2 linked regions of the Arabidopsis thaliana genome follow. The protein of the gene in region 2 interacts with the protein of the main gene of each other region in a pairwise test. Each region holds a gene or a part of one and is shown on either strand. Other genes may lie near its edges.

The links. Proteins that work in one complex are often made in the same cells at the same time.
Region 1: the proteins of NF-YC10 (region 2) and CRF1 interact in a two-hybrid assay, tested with the Arabidopsis thaliana proteins (one large-scale study listed by BioGRID).

The regions. Positions count from the first base shown.
Region 1 is NC_003075.7:6,794,130-6,798,089, reverse strand, and holds CRF1 (cytokinin response factor 1), read left to right. Parts: upstream 1-1,691; 5' UTR 1,692-2,296; coding exon 2,297-3,160; 3' UTR 3,161-3,460; downstream 3,461-3,960.
Region 2 is NC_003070.9:2,472,588-2,476,915, forward strand, and holds NF-YC10 (nuclear factor Y, subunit C10), read right to left. Parts: upstream 2,542-4,328; 5' UTR 2,324-2,541; coding exon 1,904-2,323; intron 1,461-1,903; coding exon 1,376-1,460; coding exon of another isoform or gene 1,365-1,375; exon of another isoform or gene 1,139-1,364; coding exon 1,097-1,138; intron 1,010-1,096; coding exon 936-1,009; 3' UTR 578-935; downstream 1-577. Other genes in the region: AT1G07985 (uncharacterized protein), read left to right, coding at 2,921-3,355.

The DNA of each region.
Region 1 (3,960 bases), on a different chromosome or scaffold from region 2:
TTAATCATATGCTATTTATTCTCACGAAGAAACTTTGAAAACCTAGTTTCTATTACTACCACTTTTATTGGACTCTCAAATGATTGGGTAGCTAACTTGTTTTCAAAAATGGGGTTTGATGTTTTATTTGATGTCTTTTTTAACATGATTTTAGGCCAAAACCTCAATTTGTCTATGTAATAACATCAAGATAACAAACTAAAACGAAGTGGTTTTTTTTTTATTATAAACTTGTCAGCCAAATTTATCCAATCGGCTAAGATAAGTAACTAAAAGTTTATATAGTCACTAGTCAGAGATACTAACCAAATTTAGGAAAAGCAATATCCACATTTTAAAATTTAAACATAAGGGACACGTGTGGATATCGGTGACTCAAGATTTTACATGAATTATTTTAGTAGAGTCGTGTGTACCCCGTGAAGGTGATGAATTACAAAGATTTCAGCTTTTGCCGCTATCAACATAGTTATAAATTGTAATATTATTTTTTGCTGTGTAAATTATTTTCTTAGTTCTTGCTTAGCATGAATAAGTATATCATCCAATGTATACAGAAGATGAGCTTTCTTACACAATACTATATAGTAAGATAAAGTTTCCAGAAGTGATAACTAAAACTTGTAACTCAACCATTAATACTCAACAAAACGCGAACTCTAAAGTTTAAATGAATTCTTACTTAGCAATATTTTTAAGCTAACTATGAATATAACATCCATACCTCAAATTAAATCAATCATAACATATATGTTACTAATCACATCCATATATTGCTTAGGCCTTAGGGTATAAGGCAAATACTTCATTCTTATAAAGCAAATTACTTTCCAGTAAAAATGAGACAAATAAATAAATGTGTATCACTATTAAGTATCATTTGTTTGTAGTAACACCGAATAATAGCGTTTATTTTCTTTTAAAAAATATCTCTCTAAATCTAGAATTAATAAAATATTATTTTACTTTCTTAGTTGTTTTGATTAAAAAAAATGAAGTGATTAGATATAAGTATATAACATCACGAATTTTTTTTTGCGGATTGTATTTTCTTGATAATTTTGATTCGGAAGTTATAATTGTGGCTTAATGAGTTTACCATTTCTTTTTTTTTTTTTTTTTTTTTTTTTTTTGAGTTTACCATTTCACTTCACATATATTACTGTGTTCTGTAATTTTGGCCAAATCAACACTTTAATATTTTGTTTGTAGAAAAACGTATCTTGAAAAAAGCCAAACACGGTCCACGTTAAAAGAACCAATATATTAAAGGCCTTTGTTTCTTCTCTGGTTTAACACTCACGTGAAAATATGCAGTGAAAAAGAGAGTTTTTCTATAAAGAGTGTTAAAAAGGACAAAAATATACTTTAATAAAATAAATTTTAATTAATATTCATGTCAAAAACAAGAGAAATTTAATCAATACTCCAAAAAAACGTTAAAAAGACACACAAGTCGAATGGAGTTAGTTTTTTTTTGACGTAACATCCTATGTTGTCGTCTCTGCCACGTCAGAAACCTGCTGTAGAAAAAGACCAGAGACTGCTAAAAAGGTAAAAAAGTAAAAAAAAAACCTGCACACCGCAACGGTCTAATTTGTTTTTACTTAGTTAGCAAATGACCAAAACACCCCTGTCGTTGAACGAAAAAGAGCGATTCTTCGTAGAAAGGTTTTAAGAATTTAATTAGATTTATTAACCACCCTTGATTACTGCTATTTATTTAAATTCTTAAGGTCAAAGGTTAGACTAAAACCGCATCCTCCAAGGTCATTAAATACAAATTTTGTTTCCCTTAATGACAAAAAAAAGGATTGTAAAACGCCGCAACCGCCGTTTCAATATCCTATAAAAGTCTCTGTTCTATTCAGAGTCACTCTCTTCACTTACATGTTTTGCTCTGCTTCTCTCTTTATCTTCTTCTTCATCTTTTGTCACTCTTTTCTTCTGCTCTAAACTTTTTCTTTTCGCTGCAAAAAAAAATTCCCAGGAATATTTCTTAAAAGAAATTTCATCCCTAAATAAGAAAAAAGCATCTCCTTCTTTAGTGTCCTCCTTCACCAAACTCTTGATTCCATAAGCATATATTAAAAAAGCTCTCTGCTTTCTTCAACTTTCCCGGGAAAATCTTCTTGTTACAAAGCATCAATCTCTTGTTTTACCAATTTTCTCTCTTTATTCCTTTTTTGCCCTTTACTTTTCCTAACTTTGGTCTTTATATATAAACACACGACACAAAGAAGAACACACATAAGTTAAAACTATTACAACAGTTTTAAAGAGAGAGATTTAAAAAATGGAGACAGAGAAGAAAGTTTCTCTCCCAAGAATCTTACGAATCTCTGTTACTGATCCTTACGCAACAGATTCGTCAAGCGACGAAGAAGAAGAAGTTGATTTTGATGCATTATCTACAAAACGACGTCGTGTTAAGAAGTACGTGAAGGAAGTGGTGCTTGATTCGGTGGTTTCTGATAAAGAGAAGCCGATGAAGAAGAAGAGAAAGAAGCGCGTTGTTACTGTTCCAGTGGTTGTTACGACGGCGACGAGGAAGTTTCGTGGAGTGAGGCAAAGACCGTGGGGAAAATGGGCGGCGGAGATTAGAGATCCGAGTAGACGTGTTAGGGTTTGGTTAGGTACTTTTGACACGGCGGAGGAAGCTGCCATTGTTTACGATAACGCAGCTATTCAGCTACGTGGTCCTAACGCAGAGCTTAACTTCCCTCCTCCTCCGGTGACGGAGAATGTTGAAGAAGCTTCGACGGAGGTGAAAGGAGTTTCGGATTTTATCATTGGCGGTGGAGAATGTCTTCGTTCGCCGGTTTCTGTTCTCGAATCTCCGTTCTCCGGCGAGTCTACTGCGGTTAAAGAGGAGTTTGTCGGTGTATCGACGGCGGAGATTGTGGTTAAAAAGGAGCCGTCTTTTAACGGTTCAGATTTCTCGGCGCCGTTGTTCTCGGACGACGACGTTTTTGGTTTCTCGACGTCGATGAGTGAAAGTTTCGGCGGCGATTTATTTGGAGATAATCTTTTTGCGGATATGAGTTTTGGATCCGGGTTTGGATTCGGGTCTGGGTCTGGATTCTCCAGCTGGCACGTTGAGGACCATTTTCAAGATATTGGGGATTTATTCGGGTCGGATCCTGTCTTAACTGTTTAAGAAATAACTGGCCGTTTAACGGCGTTTAGTGAAGTTTTGTTACCGGCGACGGCGAGGATTAAAAAAAAACGGCGATTTATTTTTTGAATGAAGATTTGTTAAATATATTAAACTTTTTTGTAACTTAATTAATGGTGATTTTATTTTTAAATAAAACTAATGGTAAATGGTGAACTTTTTGGCGTTAGCCGTTAAGTAACGTCTGTATATGAACGGCGTGGAGGCAAAACACGCACGAGTTTCTTCACGCTTTACTACTTTTCTTTCTTCTTTTGGTCTTTTGACGTATCACGTGTTGTCTCACGTGACGAGGAATCACCGAATTTGTGAAAAGCTTTGGTTAATCTTTCTTTTTATTGGGTTTATTTGACAAATAGCAATATTAGCAAACCATAATTGTTCTACTTTTGGAGCAAATGTTTTAGAATTACACGTGGGGGAGAATCGAATCCTGGCAAGTGTCTATGCAAAAAAATGAATTTGATTCATACCAACTCATATTATTTTGAACTTTAAGAAAGCTACATGTGTGGAAAAACTTCTATAATACAGTAGTACTTTAACTTTTGTTCTTTTTTAACTCTATAGTAACTTTTTCTATTTCCGTTTTAAGTCTCTATACCTGTGACATGTCTTATAATGGGCAGCTTTTTTATTGACAATTTCTATTTTCATAGAGCATACATTCCTATATACGAACAAATTAAAATCAAGTCGGTCTAGTCGAGGAATAACCATTATTAGAAATGTGATCTAACTAATCCAAAAGCTAGCTCAAAAGTCAAAGATTGCTATATCTT
Region 2 (4,328 bases):
GCTGAGAGCTGCTCTCAGTCGCTGCTTCTGGTGGACCCACCCTAATTTTTATTCATACCCATCATATTATTTGAATTTTTAGTTTTACCCCCAAACTCTTATTTTGGATTATTTATTTTATAACAGAATTATAAAATGTGTAAAAAGAAAAGAAAATGTGGAAAGTTTTTTCAAATTGGTCTAGAAGAATGATTTTAAAAACCTTTTTTTGATAATTGGCTTGTTTTACTAATATTATAATTTGATTAGTAAGAATAATTATGGTAAAAATATTTTCTAAATATTTTCTGACCAATTGTCCTATAATTATAACTAGATTTTAACTCAGCGGTACACCGCGGAAACAATTTATTTTTTAATGTTAGTATATATAAAAGTTTACAAATTGTATCTAACTATAAAATATTTTTATTTTATAGTTTACAATTATTATTAAGTAACGTCCTGTCAAACCCGTCCAGTAAAAAAAACCATTTATTTTATTAATGTTGATCTTATTTATGATATGTTTATGAATCATTGTCTAAATATTTTGTAATTTTGTCTCTGTTTAGTTAATGTGGAGAGATTTTGGAAAGATTGTTAAATGTCAAATATTTAATTCGAAGATTTTCTTTCTAATTATCAAATACAAACATCAAAATCCAGTGGCAGCCATTGTAAATAAGTCCAACTACAAAATTTATTTCACAAAATGGCTGCAAAAATGTATATATAGATACTAAAGAAAGATATTAGAATTCCGACAACTCTTACAAATTTTAACTTGAAACAAGAAAAAAAATGTATACATTCTAGAAATCAAATATGTGCAATCTCAGTAGTGGTTAATAAGAAAGGTGAAGATCGGGCGGATGGAACCTATGAAGTATAAACCAGGACAGGGACACAAATTTGAATCCAAATGGTTCAGTTCGATTCCAACCGGATTTATTTCAGCCTGCATCTGTCATGCCTCTTTCCCATTCCTCCAACGCGGCCTCTGCTTTAAGTTTCTCGGGAACACTATCTGCATTCAAGATATTACAGGTATTAAAATGCTGTTCGTAAACCACATGGAACTCATAAAACGAATACTTCAGAGGTTATTAAGTACCTGCAAGGAACTCGTATCTCTGGTCGTTACTCACTACGGATGCTGCCAACGAGTAGAAATGACAGTGTCATCAATTATGTTAGGAGTGCAACAAATCTTGCAAGTGATACGAACGGATTAACTCATTATCTAAACTCTTCCTAAGACTAACTACTGGCCCTTGTGCAGAAGCCAGAAATCCTAAGTTCAGCAATTGGTGCAGCAGCATGAGATTTTCGACATGGGATTCAGTATTGAGGTAACCAGATATTGGCAAATAGGGACGAGATTAGAGCTTACAGAGGTGTTTGTAGTGGATGAATTTCTTTTTGTCCTTGACGGAACTATCATAAGCTTCTTCAGAAAACCGCTCAATGAACATCTCCTTCAATCACAAAAACCAGTTAATGTACTGTAAACGCAATGAACATCAATTTCGATGAACACAAGATGAAATCAAAAGAAAGAAAAAACAATGCCAAGTTCCAATACAGGAAAATTAAACACTCATCACTTAAGCTTTGAAAATATGAACCTAAATCATATATAAGGACTTTCTCATGTGTTAGGTGTCTACAAGTTCTGGATGTAAAAGCTAAACCTATGACAATCAAGCACAGTAACTACGGTTTCATCAAACACACATGGAGATGAAGCAATAACGTTAATTCCCGGCTTAATTAACAGAAACAATCTCATTACTGTAGCAATTTGCGAGATTATAACGCCCAATTAACACTGACTAGCAATTGATACTCCCAAATTCATCAAAAACCATGTGAAATTAAGTTCCTCAAGCTAAATTTATATGTCTAATTAGTACTATACCGTGGCTTTGTTGACAAGAAATACAGCATCCTGCATAATCTGAGGAGCAGAATTATCGCTTCTCATGATCCGCCGAATCCGATTCATCGGAAACTTGATCTTAGCATCTTCCGCGCCTCCATCGTCCTCTTCTCGATTTTTACTCGTCTTCGTCGGAATTCCTACACTCTTTCCGTTACCCCTCTTGCTCACGACGCCGTTACTTTTCTTCGCCTCATCGCCTCTTATTGCTTCTTCCACAGAGTCACTGCTCGATGATTCTGAGATCTCGTAAATCTCCGGCTTCTTCTTCACAATGTTAACCTTGTTCGACGTCTTCTTCGTTCTGGAACCGGAGCTGCGTTTACTCCGACCACTCGCTTTATTGACGACGACATCGCTCCTCGCCTTCTTCTCCTTGGGTTTCTTTGACGACACCATTAATTTTTTAGAACTACAGTATGTTTCACCCTTTCGCCTGAATAAATCGATGGATATTTACATGGGCTTATTTGTTTGAGCCTTTTAGGCCCATTTATCATATGATCAATTTAAGGAATGGACATGGTGATGTTGAGGAATGAAGATGCATGACGACTACTTCAAAATAAATTATTGGACATGCTTTCACTGTTTCGCATACACCTCGTAAAACATTGTATAGTTTATGGAGAAATAAATAAATTAGGGTAAATGTACTTGGGATAAGATAATGTTTTTATACAAGCATCCAAAATACATTATCTTGTTCCCGACATAATGTAAAGAAATTTTAGGGATTAGATAAGGAAGAATGGGTAATGTTGGAGTATGAGACAGAAGAGGTGTCCGCAAGCTGGAACCACCACGTGTTATCAACAACACGTGTGAGTCTCCATGAACTCTCTCTGCAATATTTAAACGTGGCCTAGCTCGTGTTCTTTCAATCTCCAATTATTACTCTATTAATAAGAGAAGACGAGTTTTGCTTTCGATACTGTCTTTCAACTATTCCGACACAACCAAAGCTTCTGGAAACGTTGTCGTTTGTTATCAATAATGGCTGTTGTAGAAGAACCGATACTTTCAAGATTGGATCGTATTGATTTCATGGTGAGGAAGTTAGAGGAGATGAAAGGAAGCTCGCCTAGAAGCTCGAGCCCATCGACTCCATCTAGTGGGACTCAGCCATCGTCAATGGATCTGTCGTCACCGAGGAGCATAGGGAAGGTACACTGCCGTTCGATGGAACAAGTCAGGGAGGAGACTGAGCGGAAAGGAACTTTGCTAGAGAGACTTAATAATGTAGAGGAGCAAGTGCTTAAGCTGTGTTCACAGTTTGAGGAAGAAGTTGAAGAAGAGAGGAAGAGAGAAGATAAGACGGATAAGGAAAAGAAGACCCCGAAGAAGAAGAAGGGATTGAGGAAGCTGGTTGATAAAGTTGTTGGATCTTCTTCTCCCACTAATATCCATTCCAAGAGCTGGCGTTGTTGAGTCATTGTAGTACTTTATTACATCATCATGTATACTTCAACGTACCACGTTTAAATGAAAGCTTCTCTTCTTTTTTCTTTGTTGAAGCGCTAGTGGAAAAAAATATCTTTAGGTCTCTCACTCTCTTGTTTGATCGTTTGTTTGTTGAGGTTTTTTGTTGTCCAGTATGCACTTTTTAAGTGAAAACAACAATGAATTTTCAGTGTACTTTCTATTTTTCAGAGTGCACTTTTCAAGTGAAACAATGAAAATTTGAAGGAAAAACAAGTACACACCTATAAATGATTAGAAAAACGAAGATGTGTGTAGTCATTTCCATAAACGTAACGATAAATTCTCAGTGGAGATGGTTAAAATAAACCGTAAATAGTTAAAATTTAACAAATGCCCAAGGTTTTGTGTAGAATAGAACAATTTAATTTTATATCTGTTCTCCGGGTTTTCTTGCTTCCCGATCAAATTGGGGTGTCAACATTTTGATCTAAAAATCAGTGACATCATATATGAGACTTTTCAACGTGTTTTTTTTTGTCTAAAAAAATTTCATCATTCTCTTGTCAAGTATTATGTAAGGTTAACAAATCTCCTCATAAATTTTTTAAAGATCGAAAATTTTCTAAAAATATGTAAACTTTTTTTCGTCTATGGTTTCTTAAGGTGTGAAGAAAAAGAGGCTGTTTACGGAGTTCACTCTGTTTGACACTTCAACCAACTTTTGTCTTTATATGTTTTTATTCTACACCATTAAATCAAACTTAAGACAATCATATGCATTTCTTTATCCACAAAATTGATTTGCTTATTGTACTTCATCATCCCGTTGTAAAATTTATAAGCACAATTTTCGCCAACTATTTATTCCGCAAATTGAACAGCTGATTTTATTTAAATTAATGTGATCTTTATCACAACAAATTCACAAGTCACCTGCTGCTGGTGACGCAAGTATCCCCCTCTCTGTTACAATATCTCA